Linked DNA regions of Coturnix japonica. The protein of the gene in region 1 binds, or shares a complex with, the protein of each later gene. Links are inferred from orthologs where the notes say so. Each region holds a gene or a part of one and is shown on either strand. Other genes may lie near its edges. The genes, in order: LAMTOR5, LAMTOR3 and FLCN.

The links.
Region 2: LAMTOR5 (region 1) and LAMTOR3 share a complex: the UniProt entries of both Homo sapiens proteins name them as parts of the ragulator complex. The link is inferred for Coturnix japonica from reciprocal best matches to the Homo sapiens genes LAMTOR5 and LAMTOR3.
Region 3: LAMTOR5 (region 1) and FLCN share a complex: the UniProt entries of both Homo sapiens proteins name them as parts of the lysosomal folliculin complex. The link is inferred for Coturnix japonica from reciprocal best matches to the Homo sapiens genes LAMTOR5 and FLCN.

The regions. Positions count from the first base shown.
Region 1 is NC_029541.1:1,786,389-1,793,708, reverse strand, and holds LAMTOR5 (ragulator complex protein LAMTOR5), read left to right. Parts: upstream 1-2,338; 5' UTR 2,339-2,438; coding exon 2,439-2,473; intron 2,474-2,584; coding exon 2,585-2,646; intron 2,647-4,215; coding exon 4,216-4,333; intron 4,334-4,762; coding exon 4,763-4,823; 3' UTR 4,824-5,110; downstream 5,111-7,320. Other genes in the region: SLC16A4 (monocarboxylate transporter 5), read left to right, coding at 6,089-6,449, 6,898-7,001. UniProt on the Homo sapiens protein: As part of the Ragulator complex it is involved in amino acid sensing and activation of mTORC1, a signaling complex promoting cell growth in response to growth factors, energy levels, and amino acids.
Region 2 is NC_029519.1:54,080,239-54,087,720, reverse strand, and holds LAMTOR3 (ragulator complex protein LAMTOR3), read left to right. Parts: upstream 1-2,574; 5' UTR 2,575-2,688; intron 2,689-2,824; 5' UTR 2,825-2,863; coding exon 2,864-2,872; intron 2,873-2,951; coding exon 2,952-2,986; intron 2,987-3,154; coding exon 3,155-3,213; intron 3,214-3,703; coding exon 3,704-3,837; intron 3,838-4,455; coding exon 4,456-4,519; intron 4,520-4,814; coding exon 4,815-4,888; 3' UTR 4,889-5,645; downstream 5,646-7,482. Other genes in the region: DNAJB14 (dnaJ homolog subfamily B member 14), read left to right, coding at 1-70, 1,123-1,247; DAPP1 (dual adapter for phosphotyrosine and 3-phosphotyrosine and 3-phosphoinositide), read right to left, coding at 7,220-7,279. UniProt on the Homo sapiens protein: As part of the Ragulator complex it is involved in amino acid sensing and activation of mTORC1, a signaling complex promoting cell growth in response to growth factors, energy levels, and amino acids.
Region 3 is NC_029529.1:4,764,077-4,771,405, reverse strand, and holds the start of FLCN (folliculin), read left to right. Parts: upstream 1-2,964; 5' UTR 2,965-3,230; intron 3,231-3,898; 5' UTR 3,899-3,929; coding exon 3,930-4,178; intron 4,179-4,940; coding exon 4,941-5,087; intron 5,088-5,587; coding exon 5,588-5,809; intron 5,810-6,356; coding exon 6,357-6,517; intron 6,518-7,091; coding exon 7,092-7,183; intron 7,184-7,329. UniProt on the Homo sapiens protein: Multi-functional protein, involved in both the cellular response to amino acid availability and in the regulation of glycolysis.

The DNA.
Region 1 (7,320 bases):
CCGCCTGCACCCCGGCCCTATATACCCCCCTGCCCTCCCCTCCAGCCTGGGTGGGTTATTGGGTTGTTTTTAACCTCCCAATCAGAGCAAGCAGATGAGACCTGCATCGTTAATAGTAGGAAAGAAATATTCTTTTCCCAGCGAGGAAGGGGGGGTGGAATACTCACAGAGCAGCCATCCCGCCCCCATCCATATCCCAGGGTTATTTCTCAGCTCAGCTAACACAGCTGGATTTGTTGGGCTGGTGCATATTTATCCCTGACAGGTGTAGCTGAGGATCAGATTGAGAATTAGCAGTTCTGGAGCTAAAAGGAGATAGATATAAAGGGCCGTCGTGGATGGTACATGATGTGTAAATGACTCAATTGGTGCTTCATAGGATAGTGGGATATCCTGAGTGTGTCCCCCCTCTCTATGGGTCTGATTGAATCTGGAGCGTCTGTTGGGAGCACATGGAAACAAGAGCAGGGATTGCTAGAGCTTAAAAACAGGAGAGGATGAACCGTCAGCATCTGCTTTTATTTACACATTGTGGGAGGGTGTGAGGGACAGAGCTCTGCATGGAGAAAGCTTCATGAATCCATAGAAATACACAGCTGTGGCTGGTGCTTGTCCTGTGCTCCCATGGCCCAGCCTGGGTTCCCATTGCCCAGTGCCATGTGTGCCCAGGAGGTGGCAATGCTCCTTTACACAAGGGCTCGAAGTAAGTCTCTATTGAAGGAGCATTACTGATATTGACCCACTGAATGGAATCTCTCCAGCCCTGGACTTCAAGGCACCATCCCTGTAACATCCAGGCTGCCAAACAGCAGAACAGCTTTGCTTCCTGCTGTCTCTGACAGCAGAATTTCTCTTGCACAGCATCAATCCCATGTTAAATTATCTATTTAATTGCCTAAAAATAGCCCGGCTATTTCCCCCTCCAAAGGCCAGCGTCCCCTTTGAAGTGGCAGCTGTTCTCCTGCTTTGCTGAAGTCTCCACCTGGTCTTGAATTAATTTCTCCCAGTCCTCAGAAATTCCTCCGTCCTAAAGCCTCACTGCAGGGAATGGGCCATCAGCTGGGATTCTGGGGTCCCTGTGTGTGTATGTATGGGGGGGATTCAACCTTAATAGGGCACAGCTGTATCTTATTCCTGTGTTCCCCCCCACAAAGGAGGGTGAAAATAACCCAAAATGGAGCTCTGGGACAGGCAGGATATCCAGTATGGGGGGGATGCAATGGGATTGGAGTGACTGGTGACGATTCCAACTCAATCAAGAAGGGGAAAAAAATTGAAAGAGAAATAAAACTAAGAAAAATCACCACTGCATTTCACTTCCCCCATCAATAACATTTTAATTTTCCAGCCTGACATGATAAGATCCATTGCCAGGGCTGAGCTGGATGCGTTTCAGCCATCAGTCTCAGGCTCTGATGGCTCTGCCATCCATCACCTCCTGCACACTGAAAGCAGGGCACGAATGGCTGTGATACAACACTACAGCCCCACGTCCTCTGTGGGAGTGGGTGTGGGGCCCTTACAGCTCTTTGGGGACAAATACAGGGCATAAAGAAAGGTATGGAGCTGTGTTGGGATGGACAGGATGGGTGTTAGGAAAAGGCTGAGCACCAGAGGGAGGTGGGCATGGCACAGCTCCACAGGGCAGGGGCACCCAAAACCATAGGGGTTGGGTGGAGGGAGTTGGACTTAGTGGTACCTGTAGGTCCTCATTGACCAGTGGTTGACTAATGGTTAACCAATGGTTGACCAGCTGTTGACTAGTGGTTGGCTTCTGGTTGACCAGTGCTTGCCCAGCAGTTGACTTGTGGTTGGCTAATGGTTGACCAGCAGTTGACTAGTGGCTGACTACTAGTTGACCAATGGTTGACCAGCAGTTGACCAATGGTTGACCAGTGGTTGACCAATGGTTGACCAACAGTTGACCAGTGGTTGACCAGTGGTTGACCAATGGTTGACCAGCGGTTGACCGGTGGTTGACTAGTGGCTGACCAATGATTGATTAATGGTTGACCAGTGGTTGACCAGCAGTTGACCAGTGGTTGACAATGGTTGACCAGCAGTTGACCAACAGTTGACTAGTGGTTAACAGTGGTTGACCAATGGTTGACCAGTGGTTGACCAGCAGTTGACCAATGGTTGACCAATGATTGACCAATGGTTGACCAATGGTTGACCAGCAGTTGACCGGTGGTTGGCTAGTGGTTGACCAATGGTTGACCAGCAGTTGACCAGTGGTTGACTACTAGTTGACCAATGGTTGACCAATGGTTGACCAGTGGTTGCCCAATGGGAACATACCGGTGCTGCTCAGGGCGGTTCCCGTACATTGGCTTCGCTTTTTGGCCCTGCGGAGCCACCGTAGCGTGCATCACATGACCGACGCAGCTGCCAGGAGCCGCCGAGAAGGGCGGAAGTGAAGGCGACAGGGGGGCGGCATGGAGGGGAGCCTGGAGCAGCACCTGGAGGACACGTACGGACCGGGATGGGGGCGGCGGGACCGAGGGGCTGGGGGGGGGAAGGAAGGCAAGGCCGCGGGCTGGGGGCTGGGTGTAGGCCGGGCTGACCGCCGCTTCTCCCGCAGCATGAAGAACCCGGCCGTGGTGGGAGTCCTGTGCACCGACTCGCAAGGCCTCAACCTGGGGTGTGAGTATGGGAGCGACCAGGGCAGGGCCTGGGTTAGGGGTGGGCATGGGGACACACATAGAGCCCCTATAGACCCCCATAGAGCCCCTATGGACCCCCTATGGACCCCTATGGACCCCCCCCATAGGACCCCTATGGACCCCTATAGAACCCCTGTCCCCCATAGAACCCCTGTGGACCCCCCCGCATAGAACCCCTATGGACCCCCCTATAGGACCCCTGTGGACCCCGCATAGAACCCCTGTCCCCCATAGAACCCTTATGGACCCCCCATAGAACCCCTATGGACCCCCTGTGGACCCTCATAGAACCCCTATGGACCCCTATAGAATCCCTGTCCCGCATAGAACCCCTGTGGACCCCCCCGCGTAGAACCCCTATGGACCCCCCTAGTAAACCCCCTATGACCCCCCCAGTATAAGACCCCTATGGACCCCGTATAGAACTTCCTGTCCACCATATAACCACTGTGCGACACCCCCCATAGAAACCCCTGTGGACCCCCTCATTAGAACCCCCCCCCAAACCACAGAACCCCTGTGGACCCCCCTGGATAGAACCCCTTGGTGACCCCCCATTAGAACCCCTATGACCCCCATAGATAAAAAAAAAAAACCCCCCCCCCCCCCCCTTAGAAACCCTGTGCCCCCCTGGCATAGAACCCCTTTGGGACCCCACCCAGTAGAAACCCCTATGGACCCCCTCCCCATATAACCCTATGGACCCCCCCCATATAACCCTATGGACCCCCCCATAGAACCCTATTGACCCCCCCATAGAACCCCTATGGACCCCCCATAGAACCCCTGTGGACACCCCATAGAACCCCCCCCATAGAACCCCTGTGGACCCCACCCCCAGTAGAACCCCTGTGACCCCCCCACATAGAACCCCAGACCCATAGAATCCCTGTGGACCCCCCATTACGAACCCCTATTACCCCCCCATAGAACCCCGTATTGGAACCCCCATAGAACCCCCCATAGAAACTCACGCATCGCAATGCGTGTCTGGATGCATACCCCCAAAGAACCCCCCCATAGAACCCCTTGGACCCCCCCCATAGAACCCCTGTGGACCCCCCTGCATAGAACCCCTGTGGACCCCCCTGCATAGAACCCCTGTGGACCCCCCATAGAACCCCTATGGACCCCCTTTGGGACCCCCCCCCCATAGAACCCTTATGACCCTCCATAGAAACCCCTGTGGACCCCCTGTAGAGCCCCTGTGGACCCCGCATAGAACCCCTTATGGACCCCCCCATAGAACCCCAATGGACTCCCATAGAAGCACCAGCACAGGTTGCCCCTAGCTAGATGTGGGTGCTCTGGCCCTGGAGACACTGGAAGTCAGGGATGGGGGCTGTGAGCATCTGCTGGAGCTATGGGTGTCCCTGTTCATTGCAGGGGGGTTGGGCTGATGGCCTTTATATGTCCCTACCAACTCATGTGATTCTTTGATCTGGGGAGGTACTACATCAGCTTACAGCAATAAGGGAAGGAAGTGGGGATGGGGAGCTGCCTCCCATCACGGTGTGCGTGAGTTCAACCCACATCTCCCCTCTTGCAGGCCGAGGAACGCTCTCAGATGAACATGCTGGAGTCATCTCTGTGCTGGCCCAGCAGGCAGCCAAGCTCACCTCCGACCCAACCGACACTCCTGTGGTGTGCCTGGAGTCAGACAGTGGGTGAGCATCCAGCCCAAGGCTGCTGCTCTTCCCTTTTTCCCCACCCCAAATCTCCAGAGCAGAGCTCTCCATCTTCTATTTCACTGGCAGAGCTGGAGGAAGCCCCATTGCTGAAGCTGTGTTGGGAGGGGGGTATGAAAAGAAGTCAGATTCATGGGACCTCAGGCTTTGGGAACTGCAGAAGCAGCTGGAAGCCTTTCAGGGGCTGGTGGTTGCTGCAGCACTGTATTTCTTTTGCTTTTTGGATCCCCATGGATTATTTAGCCCATGCTGTAGTGTCGTTTTGGTCAGCAGGACTCCATCATCCCCCTTTGTGGGAACAGCTGACAGGTCTGGCACTGAGCTGCCCATCTGGTTTCCCAGCCAAGTCAGCTCCTGCTCTCCCAGCTGGTTTCTCACCTTCCTCTGACAGCACTTTCCTTGCTCTAGGAACATCATGATCCAGAAGCATGACAGCATCACCGTAGCAGTGCACAAGTTGGCATCCTGACCGTGGCATCCTGATGCTCCATTCCCTGCTCCAGACCAGCTCCTCCTCATTCTCCTTGGCTGTTCCAATGCAGAACACGCTTCTAGTACCAAATCTGGGCTGAAGGCTCTCCCTCTCTACTTACCAGCTCCTATGCATCTATCAGGGTTTCCAGCTCACGTTTTAGCAGTCGTGCTGTTAAAGACGTGAGTCACTCACCAAGCTTGTGTAATGATAGATACTACAAGGTGTGTGTGTGTGTGCGTGGCCTTATTTGTTGGAGAAATCAATAAATGACCTGCAAAAACTGTTGCTTCTCTTTGATCCTACTGTGAAAGCCCATTGCTTTCCCTAAAGCCAATTGGAGGGACTTCTCCCAGTCTGATTCTTCATTGGCATTGCTGCAGAGAAAAGGGACCAAGACTTGGAGGTCCCTCCAGTAGAAGAGATACAAATAGTTCTCTATTCTCCTAGGAAATGTTTAGCCTCCTCTGGTTAAGCTTTCAGTGAGAGCAGCTTATTATTATGCTTCGGATTGAAGTTCAAACCTCAACTTGTTGGCCCTCGTGTGAACTGTGAACGGATGCTGATGACATCCCCGCGAATCCTCTCTTCCCTTTAGAGGTTTGAGCATTTGGAACTGGGCAGAACAATCCCATAGAAAGGCCCTGAAAAGCTGCTTTGCTCGAATGCTTCCGCAGCACAAGGGAGCAGACAGGAGCTGGCCTCATACGTGGAGCAGAAAGGAGGCTTCACTGCAGAGCATAGACCAACAGATAGGGCAGGGTTGGAGCTAAAACTGCATTCACTGTGTAAAACAGACATTCCTGACCTCACCATCACTGTTATGTATGTAGCAGGCTCTAAGGATGGGCTGCTCTGCACAGCGCTCTCATGGTGAGGTTGGTGCTAATGGAGGTGAGCAGTGCTACATCATGCCCATCATTTACCTCCCCTTTATTTTCTTTAATGCTCAGTTTCCAAGCTCATCTCCTCAAAACAGAGTGCAGACGCCCATTTTAAATAGCCCCAATAAATAGCCATGGGCTCCTATAAGAGCAAAAGTTAAAGGGCTGTGAGCACTCAGCTCTCCCATTAACAAGCCCTGGGATCACTGCCCTCATTATTAGGGCTGCTGGATACACAGGGATGGTCTCAGATGCTGCCACCTCCCCCCCTGCACCCTGTGCACCCCAAGCTCTCATAGCACACATTGCAAACACTGTCCCACCTATATAAAAGCTCAGCGCATGTGCTGGATGCCCAACTGTAAGGGAAGTTTCTCTATGCTGTTCTGTTTACCCCAGGATATCCGCTCCCGGATCCCACAGCAAGAAGGGAGTAAAGCAGGGATGGGACAGCCAGCCCCCCCGACCCCACAGCATTACCCTATTACAGTACTGCTGTCATCTCCTCCTGTAGGGCTGGGTGGCCACCAGCAGCTCTGGCTTCCATCCATCAGCTGGACACGGAGCCTCGGTCGGACCCCAGGAGACGGCACAGTTTCCTCCATAAAGGAATCATGCTCTGCCATAGGGGAAGGGGAGGGACTCCTGGCCTGGAGCAGCAGGGAAAGGAGGAGGAAGGATCCTAACACAAAGTCCTGCCTCGGTTTTGCATTGGTCGTCATCTCTGCCGGACACGGACGTAGGGCCAGGCTGGGGGGCAGAGGGTCACAAGCAGAGGAGGGGGGGTGAGAGGGGGGAACTTCACCACTGGAGCAAATGACGAGGAGATTCCTCTTTGCGTTCTGCTGTTTTGGGGAAGGTTTGGCAGCATGCAGCAGCAGCACGGCGGTAAGGAAGGGGTCGGGTTTGTTGGCTCGGCTGCTGCTGGAAGTATGGGATAGAATGGGAAGGAGGTGGGCAGGAAAAACCTCCCCAGGAGCTCAAAGATGGGATGGGCAGAGCCCAGGCTTTCAGCACAAACCAACCCTGTGCTCTAAAGGAAAGTGCTTAATTACACGCCTTGAGCTATTTAGGAAGGGGAAAAGAAAGTGAGCTGAAGGCAAGCAGTGAGACTGCGCCACCAAACAGAAGGACCGGGGGCATCTTTGGTGCTGTGGAGTTAATATACCCTGAATTCTCATTCCCAGGGGAAAGGAAAGAAGGAAAGGCAGAGCCAGCAGCAGTGATGGGAGATGGGAGCCAAGGCACGGACAGAATGTGGGCATGGGCAGCGGTGCTGCACTTCTTCCTGGTAAGCACGAATTCACCCCCAAACCTTTGTAAGATGGGGAGTGTGGGAAGTCTCCGGATGGGCTGATCCTATTCAACTAATGGCAGAGAATTAGGGGAAGGCTCAGAGGCAGCGAGTGCTTTGCTACAGGAGGACAGGCAGAGCAAAGAGTGAGGATGCAGCCAGCACCGAGCCTTCCATAGCTGGCAATGGTTAACCCCAGCCCTGGGCTGGGAGGCACCGACTGTCCTTTGTCCTTTGGGAAGGGAGCATGAGCTCATGAATTAATTCATCAGAGAGCAAAGCAAAGCTCTGATGTCGTTTAGTTCTGTTGCTTTGG
Region 2 (7,482 bases), on another chromosome or scaffold:
GTGGAAAAGAGTGTGGAAGAGGATTATGTGTCCAACATTCGGAACAACTGCTGGAAGGAGAGGCAGCAAAGTAAGCCTGGTCATTTCATGAAATAATGCATTATTCCATATTTAAAGGAAAAAAAAGGATTATCTCCATCAAGAATGGAGCTTGTATTGTTCATATATCTGGAGAAGAAAACAAGGTGAAAGGTTCCCTACTGTTTCTCACTTGTAGAGGTGTCCCAGCTAGCGTCACCTAATAGTGTGGACCAAGAAGAGAAGTTTACATTTAGTGACCTAGCTATTATACAGAGATGTTACTGGGATATGGTATTTGTGTTTCCTCTTGTATTTCTCTTATATATATATATATATATATATATATATATATATATATATAAAGTCCTTGACGATGCAAAGCGGCCCTACCTTTCCATATGTAAATACATAATAGGAAAGATATGATGACTGGAGAAGCATCTGACTCTAATGTAAAGAACAGCAACTGCGTGAAAGTGGTGACTGTCACATTGTTTTCTGTTTGCAATTTACCAGACAGTGATAATTACCCAAAATGATGTAAAAGAAAGCAACCCCAATAGATTGTCTCTATTTATAGAAACAAGTGACATTTATTTTTACAGATTTAAAATACTTATTGTGTTTGGAAATTTTTGACAGCTAGAATCTTCTTTCCAGTGTTGATTGACACTCTGGAACGAATTAAAATGCAGAGCAATGTCAAGCTGTTGAACATCAGTATAATACAGAGAGCTCCTAATAATAGCTATGAACGCTGGCAATCTGAAGCAGCATCTATTGAAGTAATAGGCTTAACATTCAGAATGAATTGTGGGGCACAGGCAAGATGCTAGTTCTGTAATTGGGTGCTGCTGCATGAAGTGTGAGGGTGCTGGAAGGTTATTACTGTGACTGCTAGAAAAGATGACGTGCTTGTGGAGACAGTGAAAGGAAGCCTGTAGTGCTGCTGTTACATGATATCTGTGGGTAGTTAGAGAGAAAAAGGGTGAGGATTAAACCCGAGTTGTTGTGGACTGCTCTGAGAAGGAATGCACAGCATGTACAGAGCATTCAGTTTTAAACCTGAAAAGTGTTTTCTCTTTTTCTTTTCTCATAAAGAAACAGATTTACTTCATGTATCGAAAGTTTATCGAGATGACCGTCTCCGAAAGAAAGCAGACTCCATGTCCATGGAAAACTGCAAAGAACTCGAACGTTTGACCAGCCTCTATCGAGGAGGATGAACTGCTTTCGTATGCATCTCTCCTGTAAATTAAGAAGAGATTTAGTTTCACCGTGAATGCTGGAAAAGAGGGTGGATGTAAAACTCTACTGTGTAGCTGTTTCCAGAAACCTTAAGCTGAAATATCATGTAACGGCTTCTTTACCTACTGTGAAATATAGGTAACTTTAATTGTCTAGATTTTACTTCGAAGCTTCTGTGAATTCTTTCAGCAGAGAGAATAGCTTAGAAAGGATGCTATACTTGTAGAAACTTAGTCATAGTGGTTCTCCTCTAACATATTTGCCATGTAAATATCTGTGGAAAGAACATTTTGTGTATATACGAGTTAAATGACTTTCTATTTAAAACCTCAGAAGTTTAGTTCCATACAACATTTTGTCTCACCGATGGAATAAATAGAGTCTGGTTACATCACTCCAATTCAGATGTCGAGCGTGTGGAGTTGGAACGAGGATTTGTAATGTTTTATCTCTATGTAACATCTTCTAGGCCCGCCAGCTTAGAGGAACTGGGTATTTTTAAATATAACAGCATATATTCCTAATGGTCTGCTGGGCTGCGTTCATCTGGTGTAGCACAGCAGTCAGTTGTTGTGGTTATTTTAGTGTTTCTAAGCCATGCTGAGAAAACTGAAGGACTGCACTCAGCTCTTTGCCTGGTGACTGTTGTATGCAGGTTCTGTACTGACCATGGTAAGCATTGCATCTAGTGCTCGTGGCAGCTGTACTGACCATGGTAAGCATTGCTCTTAGTGCTCATGGCAGCTGTACTGACCATGGTAAGCATTGCTCTTAGTGCTCGTGGCAGCTGACGGTAGCTCTCTCATTTGGTATCCAGTGCTATAGTAAATCCATACGTATGGCTAACATGCATAGAGCTTCCTTAATTGTCACTGGGAAGACAGAAGAAAACGTGAAGGGAAAAAAAAAACAACAACTTATTTATTTTTTTCCTGGGAAACTTCCATTTTCCTGCTGTGTTTTGATTTGGAGATAGATCCTGATGGTGACTTGTCAATGGGCACCACAGGTGGAACAGAGACATCCAGCTGAGCCTTGTGCCTGTCAGTTCTTTGGCCGGTTGTTTCAGTGCTCACTGCTCGTGCTGCTGTGCTCAGAGCCGCGTCACTTGTTCAGGGCTGGAGGTAGAGGTGGTTGGGGTGTTGCAGGTCCGTTTATTTGGGCCTGAATGCTGCAGGATTGACGTGGAAATGATCAAACACACTGTGCGGCTCCTCCATCCAGCACCACGTACCTCAGTGAGTTACTCCGGACCCGCAGGTGGCGCTGTGTCCCGGCGCCGGGCGGTGCCGTCGCCCCGCTGCCGTCCCGCAGTGCGCACGCTCGGCAGCGCCGGGCCCAATGATCCGTGCCGAGTGAGGAGGCGCTTCGCGTCGTGTCAGCTGACGGGACTAAGGGAAGTGCGGCCGGGGCGGTCAGGTACGGCAGGGCCGCCAAGGGGGATCGGCCACAGCCCGCTCTGCTGCCGCGGCGGGGCGGGAGGAAGAGGCCCTGCCCGGCCCTGCCCTCCTCCGCTCCGTGTGCCGCCGCTGAGCGGGCGCCTCTCGTCCCGTAGGGCCGCCGAAGGGGCAGCAGCGCCGCGAGGCCTCCAGCCATGGCCGATGTAAGCGGGGCGGGGCGGTTGGGCTGCGGGGGGCCGGGATGCGCTGCGGGTCGTGTCACGGCGCTGTCTGTTCCCGCAGGACCTGAAGAGGTTCCTCTACAAGAAGCTGCCCAGGTAACAGTTGCTCCATTCGCATCTCCCCCTCCGCCTTGTGCCGCTCTGAGCCCGCCCTGCCGCTTCCTTTCACGTGCCTGCCCCGTGCGCGGCTGTTGGTGGCGGTGGGTCAGTAGATGAGTCATATGCAGCAGCTGTGCCCTTTGTAATTATCGCTTCCTTCTGCAGCGTCGAAGGTCTCCACGCTATTGTGGTGTCGGACAGAGACGGGGTGCCTGTCATCAAAGGTAACGGCAGTGTGCAGCATCCAGTGTGCAGCATCCAGCTGTGTGTGTGCTAATTCCTCCTGGGTTTGGTACCGTCATTTCTAGCCCATCTCAGTCCTCCTTCAGGATCCCTCTGCGGTGCAGGTGAACTGGTTTAAGCACAGCAAGGTTCGGTGTTGCTATTTGGTGGTGTTTCTTAGTGGTTCATAGTACTTATGCAGCCAGCTGGACATGCACATCTCCATCCGCCTCCCCTCTGGTGGCTGTTTGGCAGCAGTCAGTTCCCAGAGCGTGTCCCACAGCACTGTATGTGGGATGTGAACTGGAGTGCTGTGCTGTGGTCACAGGTCACCTGCAAGGCATTAAACAATCTGCTGCCCTTGAAGACTGTGCTTGTTGTGAAGGCACAGGCGATGTCTTATGTGTTTCTGACACCACGTAGCTTTTGGGTTTGTTTGTGATGCAGTCATTGATACCATGTTAAAGCAAAAACTTTCTTGTTCTGCCCCAGTTGCCAATGATAACGCACCAGAACACGCCCTACGACCCGGCTTTCTGTCCACGTTTGCCCTTGCAACGGATCAGGGCAGTAAGCTGGGACTTTCCAAGAACAAAAGCATCATCTGTTACTACAACACATACCAGGTGAGTGACCGCAGCCTGGGGCCGGAGCTCCTCGTGTGTTACCATGAGCATCATGGGAGAGAACATGGTGGAAACTCTGCTTGATTTCCACTTGGCTCTTGGTGCTTTAATTCCCTTGTTAAAGCTGGCTAAGCTACATTCTTGCGCTTTATTGAACTCTTAAATGCTTCTCAAGGCTGAGAAGGCTGGCGGGTTGAAGTTGGTCGAGTTTTCTGTGCAGCTGGCGACCAAGCACCAGCAGGTGGTGCTGCTGATGTGCCTTCAGACTGCCACGAAGGGCTTATGTTCTTTTTGCATAGGGTATTTGTTTATTACTAACACAGATAAACGAGCACGTGCAGCTCACTTAACAATTAATATTGCTGTTAGAAGGACTTCAAGGTAAGAAAACGCTGAAATATCTACTTGCCGTTCTTACAAGCTGGATATTTGCACTGTGAGTTTTTTGTTACCTACCCAGTGTCTGCTCATAAGCCTGCCTGCCCACTTGATACCTATATAAAGGAGCTTCCACAGAGCACTCAGCTTCCTGCACTGTGCTGCCAGCTTCATTAGCACGTTTATCTGTGGCACCCACTGTGTGTTGGCTGAGGGGTAAACTGCTTCTCTCTCTTGCAGGTGGTGCAGTTCAATCGCTTACCTTTGGTAGTGAGCTTCATTGCCAGCAGCAATGCTAATACCGGTACGTCTCCAGGTGGCTTTAAATGTTTGCAGTATTTTAAGCCCCGAATGTTTTAAATATTTGAAAGTAAATAGAGTTTTCTTCAAGGTGCATTAACTTTTCTCCTTAATGTGTCGGAATATACTGAAAAGTTGGGAGATGCACAGGTAAAGACCCATAGATTCTGGGTGACCTGCTGAGGTTATGATTCCATTAGAAATGCTATGGAAAACCATTCCTGAGACTTGGAAGCTTTTGTAAGAGTGCTTCTCTGGTTTGTTGTTTGATGGATGTTGCGTCTCTTGTCTCTTCCTAGGGCTGATTGTAAGTTTGGAGAAGGAGCTCACGCCCTTGTTTGAAGAACTAAGGCAGGTTGTTGAAGTTTCTTAACCTGATGGTACAGTCAGAGCGCAGCGTCCATCTGCAGCCCCATGGACAGGAAGATTGAATAATCCTCAGTCCAGTAACACGTCTCAGAAGATATATCACAGCTCCTTAGTACACTAAGTAAAAGTAAATTGTACATAGTGCTGAATCTGAAATGATCTGCTGGTGTGTTGTAGGCGGATGTTACTTTAGACCACGCTTCTTGTGTAGTGCAGTGTTGGAGACCACCAAATAACTCCCATGGAGTTTAGCTCAGCCAACTTAACCACGTTAGCACAGTGCTCTTGGCTCAGGTGAGCAGCCCACAGACCTTTTGCTTTACTGAGCACCAGGCATACAGTGGGGTTTATCCCCAGACTGGCTACCACAGCTGGTAACAGATGGATTGGTGTTAGCAAAGATGTGGCTGAAGGAGCATCGTGAGAGCATGGTTGCTAGCAGCAATGTATCAGTACAATCAATCAATATCCTGTCTTGTTGGCGATGCTTCGGTCAAAGAATCTGACTAATGTGGGTGTTGGCTGCATCCTGCTTTCACCGAGATTGCTTTTTCTATGAGCTGTTGCTTTAGGGGTTTTCCTGATGCCCACAGGAAAGCACACGAACCATGTTTCGCTTCGTGGGGTTTTTGTGTAACACAATTGTGAAGTTCTCATGCCTTGTAGTCTTTGTGTGGATTCATCACGGGTGACACTCAGCTCATTTACCCCTAGGTTTTCCTAAGTAAATAAATATAAATAAAATGTATTTTTAAATGACAGAACCTGGTCCACTCCTCTGTTGCACCACAATGTAGCACCATTTCTGTGCAGAGAATGGGTTTCTTCATCACTTGTAAGCTAATAGAAGCCAGGAGCTCACAGGTAAACAGCCCCAAGGCATCCGTGTGGGTGCTTGTGGCAAACATCATTCCTGTTCCATCCAGGGAGAATCTCTTGCTGTTGTTTCCTGCTCAACCTGCCCAGTGCCCTTGCCCTAAATGCTTCCTAAGCCAACTGAGTGCTGACTCTTGCTGGCTTCCATCTGTGGCATCACGCACTGAGCTTGTTTCTGATGTTTTGTAATGTGTGAAGAGGAAGGTTGCTTCTGTGGTTGCACTTGGAGCTTCATTCTCAAGATGTTGGCACAGGAGAGCAATGGTATGAGAGAACATCACATCTTTCTTCTAATGCTGCCCTTATTGCATGCCGAGTTATATCAGTGCTTTATAACTAAGTTGGAGATGCAAGTTGTTCATTGACTCTTAAGGCAGAAAGGAGGACTAATGTATCTTGCAAAGCTTTAACGATACACTACAGAATTACAGAAGACCTTTGTTAGTTTTATAATGACATTTTATTCAGAAAACAGTGTATAAAAATATTTACAAATATTTTGAATTAGAAGTTGAAATAAAACGCTATTCCTGTCCAGAGCTGGATTTTCCTTCTACTTTGTTGTTCTACTATGTTTCTACTCCCTTTCCTCTTCAGCTTTCTCACAGTAAAGGCATCTACTGAACACTGAGCTGCTGCTGCTGCTGCACGATGTCCAGGGAAGAAGGTTTGCTTCATCAGATGTGACTGTTACAGAGCGGGATCTCCCTGCTCAGCCCAGCTCTCCCAGAGGAGCAGCTCAGATGGGAGAGCAACAGCAAAACTTGCTTTCAAAACATAACGCCTCTTTCCATCATAGCACCAAAGCATGAGGCTTCTGCTTCTGAACTCCGGGGAGCCACACTCAGGTGTGCTTGTGTCTTCCACAGTGCACATGGAGATGCTCACCCATTATGCAGAAGACATACTCTTTTAAACGCACACTTATATGTGTGGTTTTTTAGTGTATATCACGCTTTCCCGTTGCTCTAGTTCAGTATAAAGCAAGCAGTGCTTAATTCTCGAATGCAGTCATGGATAAAACCTCTTATTGTATAAACCGAGTTTTCTGTTCAAAGGGAAAAAAATACAAAATCTAGCTCATTTTCAAAGGGGAGCACAGCACTCAATGCTGCTAAAATGCTGGTGGCTGCCACCAGCAAAGCCCCATGCAGAACTCCATCATCCACCCTCAGTGGTGAAGTGAGTACGTCTGTGATTAGTTAATGGGTGCCTCAGTGGCTGAGCCTTGCAGACATAAACCACGTGCATCAAACCAACACTGTGATTTTGCAATGGGCTCCACACGACTCAGCAGCCTGAAAGCAGTTAGTCAGCTGTACAGATCCTCTGTGTGCAGAGCTGGATGCAAACGTCTGCATGGGGGCAGACACACGTGCATGTGCCCTCAGCAGGTAATGAAGATGTAGAACCATCTTCCTGTGGCTGAGGGGCAATTCCTGCCCGTGGAGTGGAAGGATTAGGGGTGCAGCTGGGAACTGGAGGCACTGTGCTGCTCCACTTGCTTCCGTATTTGTGACTAGAACAGAGAAGCAACCCATTACTGTTTACCTGCACGTGGATGTGGGTGAGTAAAACCAAGCTAAATAATGATTTTTTTTTAAGGAATTAAGTCTTCTTGTTTCCTTCAGGACCCAACGTGTGCAATCTGTGCTGTTCAACACTGTACACCATCTACATGGTGACAACTTTAACAATGTTGATTCACTGCTTCTTTGTAAC
Region 3 (7,329 bases), on another chromosome or scaffold:
AGATAATTACTGGTTCGTTTTGTATTTAAATTTGGCTCAAACTGCAGACATGTGTATGGTGGGGGGAGAGGGGTGGAGCTTCTCTACATCATAATTTGCATATACGTAGTGTAGTTGGCTGCTGTCTCAAATGATGAAATGAGAACCATGTTCTTCTCGAAAGGTATTAAAGCCTCGGTAGGTGACTTTGGTGAAGAGCAGAAGTTGCTTTAGGGAAACCATACGTGAGAGCTGTTGATAATCTTAAACTTCTGGTACAAAATACTTCCTAATAATGTTTGCTCTTGGATCAAATTTACTAGGCCTAAACAAGGATAATCGGAAGACCTGGGTGTTCTGGAAGATGCTGGATATGAAGTTGTTCACGCTGAAAGAAGTTTAAGTTTTTGTTCCTATACAATCAGCACGAAGGTATTCAACACACTACTGTTTTTCTGTGGTGGAAATCAGTTCTAAATGAAGGCTGTGCTATAGATCCTTTCTTTGTTTCTAAATATGATTCTTCATTATGGAGCCCTATACAACTCATAAAAAAACAATTTCATTTGGAACTAATTTGCTGGAATGGCATCTAGTTATTAATTCACTTTTTGTTGGCTTCTTTAAGGGTTTCACTTCTTAAATCAATGGGATTTTTATTTTCCTGTAGCTCTCATGTATCTGAAGATTCTGCCTGTTCAAACACCTTTGAGATCCTTCACATCAGTGCAAATCTCCTACTATCAGGCATACATAAACCTGTCATCAAGGCAGAATATGTGAAGCTCAGCACCTACTGCTTCCTGCTTAAACATCTGAATAGGAGCTGCTTGCTGCTGCTAACCTGCCAGCTTTTATCAGGTGTCAAAGTGGGAGCTAAGCATTTCTGGCTCTTGCCATGTTAAACTTGTCTGTATTGAGGTCACCTGTGGTTGAAAATAACCCATTTTGTGCTTCCAGTGCAGATACAGAACTGTTGGGGTTTTCATTTAAAGCTGGTCTCTTGATTCTAGCAGAGGCTGTGTGGTGGTAGTTTGCTTTCTAGGAGACAACTCTGCCCAGGGTTATTCTCTAGGTGCCAAATGAAGTATTTAAAAGCATAAAATAGCAATTTAGCAGTGAACACAGCATAAGTCCACAGTGTTAGTTGTTCACCATTGAGAATTTGTGCTTCCTATCAGCAACTTCCATATTTAAAGGCAAATTTTACACCTAAACACGCCTTACTGGTCTTGTCATTAAATATATTTATGTTTTTTAATGTTTGAGGTTTTTTTTCCCTCTAGTTAATCCCGCAGTGATTTCAGTCCTAAAAACGCTCATGTAACTTTTTGCTCTGGTTCTGTGTTCAATACCCGATGAGCTGCGCTGTGGGCTCAGGCACAAAGCAGGGTTATGGGAATGTTTACAGTTGTGTGCAGTAAAGCACTGCAAATCCAGACTGCCACATAGAAATGGTGATGGTTCACCTCATTGCCAAAGGGGAATGTATGCACAGTGCATTTGTGAAGCCTGAGAAGAACCAGAAATGTTCTCTCTGCAGTAGCTGAGCTTTTTGTATTGCTGGTTCCTATTAGTAAGCACGAACGTTCTGCTGAGGGCTGAATGCCCTTATGTCTGTGGAATTACAAGCAAATTAATAGACGTACCTGGCAAATAGAAGCTGTGTTTGCTTTGTTTCTTTTCCTGACATAGATAAAATAAACCTATACTGCACATCAGGAGGGCTGGCAGACAGATCTGTGTAGTATTTTCAAACAATATATCGCACTATTGTTCTTGATCTGCTTTTTAAGGAGGCACTTTGTTACTTGCTGGTGGAAAATCTGAAGTCAGGTCCCAAAGTCTGAAGTATTCACCAAAAGTGCTTTGGGAAAAGGCTTTTGAGCAATGGTTTGACTAAATGCTTCAGGTCTGGCATCTGCATGTCCTGAGATACTGATGAAACCAAGTCAGAGCTTTTAAATGAAGAAGCTCCTTCAAGTCTTGGAACTAACTGCATGGGGCTGCGGTGAGCTGAGACGCATTGAGAACACTTGAGCTTTCTGCTTTTAATTTGTATTTATTGCAAGGAAGGACTGTAGATCCAAACGTAACAACACTGTGTGCTCTGCTGCTCTGAGCATGCTTTGATATCTGCTATCATGCTTTGATATCTGCTATCATGCTTTGATATCTGCTATCATGCTTTGATATCATAGTTCAATGCGCCATCATTTGCAAAGAGAAAGTGCAGCTCTGGAGGGAGCCCTTGTCTTGCAACTACAGCTCTTAGCCACAGGAGGGGTCTCTACTTCACTCTTAGCTGGTAATATAACGATGCAGAGGTTTTTTTGGTTGTTTTTAAAGAAAAAAAGGCTGGAATCCGTGTAGCAGCCCCCCTTGTATGTCTGTGCCACATGGGAGCCGTGCGTACTGCCCCTTGTGAACATCCATAGTGCTGCCATCGCACCAAGTGCTTCTGCATAACCCAGGTTGCCTTGTAGGCAACACTTGTACTTGGAGGCACTTCTGGGCAGTACAACTGCGCCCCACCGTGTGTGTTGTGTTGTGTAACGTAGGAGATGTTTCTGCATGGCCACAGCAGCCGACGAGGTTCGTCCTGAGCAGTTGTTTCAATGTACTATTGGAAAATAAAGGTCACAAACCAGCCCGCTCTTAGTTTGTCTTTAAATGCTTGGCCTGAAGGAACGAGATGGTAGAGCTTTGGTGTTTGCCTTCATCTCTAGGTGTTGTTCTTTATTGGGGGGTGCTTTTGTTCTTATTGTGCTGCTGTCCTTGCCCAGCACTGGCTCTGAGGTTACATGGAAATTGAATCAGGCCTTTGCTGCAAGTGGTGGTGCTGTATTAATTAGCGGTGCTGTATTAATTAGCAGCGCTGCTGGCTGCCTTTAATCGCCCCGTCTCGTCTCACCCCCCCGCGCTCCCAGCAGTGGTTGCTCCCAGTCCCGTGACTGGGCGGCTGCGGGTCGCGGTCATTGCCGCTGCCGCGGGGGGGGAGGAGTGCGCCGGGAGCTGTGTGTGGAGGCGGGCAGCCCCCTGCTGTCCGGCCACCAGCTGCATCCCCGTCCCGATCCCTCTGCAGCCTCATCCCGCTCCTCGCCGCTCCTTGGGCGGCTGATCAGCGGGGAGCTGCCTGCCCGCATCCCCAGCACCCCCCCCCCGCGGCCCGGTAGGATGGTACGGCCCGGCGGTCAGCGTGTGTCAGCTGCCCGCAGCCACGGGACGGGCCGGGGCGGGAGCCCGGAGCGGTGAGAGGACGGGAACGGGGCTGGGGGAGCGGGGGGTGGGCCGGGCAGTGGGGGAGCGGGCACTGAGCGGGACCGGGACCGGGACCGACCGTGTGGCTGCGTGGGGACCGGGGGTGGACACACAGCGCCGGGCCGGGCCTGTAGGATGCAGCGTTAGAACGGGGGGAAACGGCTTCGGGCTGAAAGGGGACGGTTAGATTAGATACGAGGGGAAATGCTTCGTACTGAGGGCGGTGAGGAGCCGCCGTGTGCCCGCCATGGAGCTGTCCCAGGCCGTAGTTGGGCCCTGGGCAGGCAGCACACGGCACGGGTGGGGCTGGTGGCCTCTGAGGGCCCTTCTCTGTGCTGTGCCATCGGTTTGGCTGAGAAACGCTTGCATGGAGATCCTTAAGGATGGCTGACACAGCACTGGGCCGGCACAGCCCCATCCTGACACGGTCTGAGGTGCCCAGGTGCTGAGTGATTGTGCTGCTCTGGGCCTGTCCTGTGAAGGTATGAGCACAGCCCAGGGTGGAACTGTGCTGGACACCCCAACTGAGCAGCTCTTGGAAAGACACAGATCAGCATTCACACCTGACAGGCCCATGGGGTGTTGTAACAGCAATTCTAACAGCAGTTCTTGTGCCAGTTTGTATATTGATGCTATGTGTTTTTTCACTCACCTGCAGGAGACCCTGACGGATGTGCTGAGCTCTCGCTATGAATGCTATTGTTGCTCTCTGCCATTTTTGTGAGCTCCACGGTCCCCGCACCCTCTTTTGCACTGAGGTTCTACATTCACCGCTTCCTCAAGGTGCCAGCAGCGGGGATATCACTGGGCAGAATGAGCAGGCGGAAGAGGAGGAAGGCGGCATCCAGATGAGCAGCAGGATCCGCTCGCACAGCCCAGCTGAAGGTGCCAGCGCTGATTCCAGCAGCCCAGGGCCAAAGAAGTCAGACATGTGTGAGGTAAGTGTGAATAGCTGTACACAGAACATCAGTGTTTCTTTGCTTGACTAAAGGGCTCTTGGGTTATCTGATGAACACATGAACTACCCCTGTGCTTTCATATAACTGACAGTACTAAAAAAGTCCTTATAAACTGCAGTGACCCACAACAGAAGTTGAAGGAAATGTTATTAAGCAAACTGACAAAGCAAGTTTCTCTGTTAAGGTCTTTTTAAGCCCTGCGTGTGATTTTCATGTGTCTGAGAGACGCTTCCCTTGGCCTCCAAAGGTTTCTGCTTCATTAGACCAGGTTCTACCATTGATTAATAGCAATATTTAGCAGCAACATCAAATAGGGAACAGGAAAAAAAAAACCAAAACCAACCTTAAAGCTCCTAAAACTAGAGAAAAAACTGTGTTTTTAGTTTTTCCTTTGTGTGGCTACTATTAGCACTTGATCTGAGCTACTTGTTATTTACTTGCCTTTAGGTTATGGCCAGTGCTTTTGTTGGCCAGTTGCTTTCACAGGTGCTATGAACTGACTTGTACTGCTTGCAGAGCCATCACCATCAAATGCACAATCAAATTCAGCAGTGGAAAACTGGCATAGAAAGGATCTGAGTTTAAGTGCTCACCCTGACTCAAACTGCTTGCATTCTGAATACTTGAGTTTATATGTGTAAATAATGCTACCCTACGTTTAGAAGGGAAAACGCAAAGGCAGCTGGAAACCTTTGAAATCTGCATGTTCGTTTATGCTTGGATTTGCTTTTCTGTCTTCAGGGTTGCCGCTCTCTTGCAGGAGGACATCCTGGGTTTGTCAGCCACGACAAGGAGACTTCGATCAAGTATGTCAGTCACCAGCACCCAAACCACCCCCAGCTGTTCAGCATTGTGCGCCAGGCCTGCGTTCGCAGTCTGAGTTGTGAGGTAACTCTTTAGGAGTACAGGAAGAAATCCTGCTTAGGGCCTTACCTTGGGGATGCTTTTCCTCTTGACTTCTGAGATGTGAAAGTTCTCTTATTTTCACTCCTGTGCATTTATTGTTTGTGTTTTTAATATAAACTGATAAATTATTTGTGTAAAAATGTTGGCATCTATTGCTTTGTATTGAGAAATAATTGGTCTTTATAAACTGCTGACGTTCAGTGTCTCATATAAATGGAGAGCTTTACAGACTAGTGTTTGTGTGCCAGCATCAGGAATTCCTTGTGATTTCTCCACAGTGTTGTAGCTGAACTGAGCAAAATCTGTAAAATAAAGATAAATTGAAGGCTTTATTATGTTTGTTTGACCACAGGTTTTAGATAGCAGCCTTAAAAAAAATTGTTTTATTCATCAGATGTCTGTTAAATAGCAGCAAGCTTTTGTTATACAGTTCATTGCTCTTCCAGCTGAGCTTCTTTGGTCTGTATGTCCCCCCCATTCAGGTCTGCCCAGGACGTGAAGGGCCTATATTTTTTGGAGATGAACAGCATGGTTTTGTGTTCAGCCACACCTTCTTTATCAAAGACAGCCTGGCCCGAGGCTTCCAGCGCTGGTACAGCATCATCACTATCATGATGGACCGGATTTACCTCATCAACTCATGGCCTTTCTTGCTGGGAAAAATCAGAGGCATCATCGATGAACTTCAGGGCAAAGCACTTAAGGTGGGTCAGTGAGTGAGTCCTTTTGGCTCAGCATTATAGAATCATAGAATCACCAAGGTTGGAAAAGACCTAAAAGATCATCCAGTCCAACCGTTCACCTATTACTAGTATAGTAATATTAGTACAGCCTTTTGGTAGCTTTCTGCATCTTAATCCAAAAGCTGCTCTGGCTCACTGCAATCAGTTTAAGGTTGATACAAGGAGTAAAAGGGCTGTGTGTATCTGGGTCTATAGGAGAGAGGCCACCTTTGTTCTTTTAAGCCATTTGTGATGCCTTTCAGGCTCCAAACTGCCACACAATAGCTCTGTTAGAATTTAAGTACCCAAAGTAGTGAAGGACAAAGTTTTGAGAGCTGATGTTTTACTTAATGATAATGTTAATCAATCTAAGAATAAGGTATTTTACCTTCCCTCATTATTTAGTGTATTTGAATGACTGTGTTTGATGCACCTCTTTCTGTTGTGGGTGTTCCTTAGCGTTTTGGTGATTTTAGTTTTCTATCAGCCTTTTATAAGACTGTTACACTGTCCACTGTCTGTGCTGCAGGTGTTTGAAGCTGAGCAGTTTGGGTGCCCTCAGCGTGCTCAGCGGATGAACACAGCATTCACCCCCTTCCTGCACCAGCGCAATGGCAACGCAGCCCGTTCCTTAACATCCCTGACCAACGATGAGAACCTGTGGGCATGTTTGCACACTTCTTTCGCTTGGTAATATCACTTGTGTTTCTGGCTTCTGGAACACAAAGAAAATATTGCCTTATTTTGAAAGGGTGGAAATGTTTGGGTTGTTTTTCTTGATGTAGTAAGCTGGACTTTGCTAAGAAGTCTCTGAATTGGAAGGAGCTGAGCACGGAAGGCCTCGTGATGGCTTTAAGGCAGAAATAGTTCTTATTGCAGTGAAGTAAATCTCCTTATGTGACTATTGATGGGAAAACTGAAGTACGAGGAAAAGGAAGGAGAAATGCAAGGAAAGACACTCCCACCCCTCAGTGTGTCATCAGAATTCCCTGGAAAGATGCCACAGAGAGGGATGCAGTGCTGGCATGTGACTTGGGTGGGGGATAAGCATATTGCACAAGGTAATTGCAAAATGGTAGGCCTTGCAGTGACTGAGCAATTAGAACACTGGTAGTTAGGACAAAGGAACATGTAGGCGTGTGGATAAGGAACACGTACTGGTAAATGGTTGAATGTTTTGTTACACCAAGTTTCTTTCTCTGTTTTGTTGCTTGGCATTCATTAAGCCTGCTTACTGCTTCCACCTGTTTTTCAATGTCTCCAGGCTTCTGAAAGCTTGTGGCAGCCGGCTTACAGAGAAACTTCTGGAGGGAGCTCCAACTGAAGACACCCTTGTTCAGATGGAAAAACTTGCAGGTGAGGCCAGAGTTTCCAGAGCTGGAAGATCCTCTAAGAACGCTGTGGCTGGTAAAACACCAAGTGCTTTTGCCAGCATAGCAAGTGCAACCATCTCTCTTGGACCCCACCTTAATGGTAGCCCTGCAGTAGCTGATGTGCTTTCC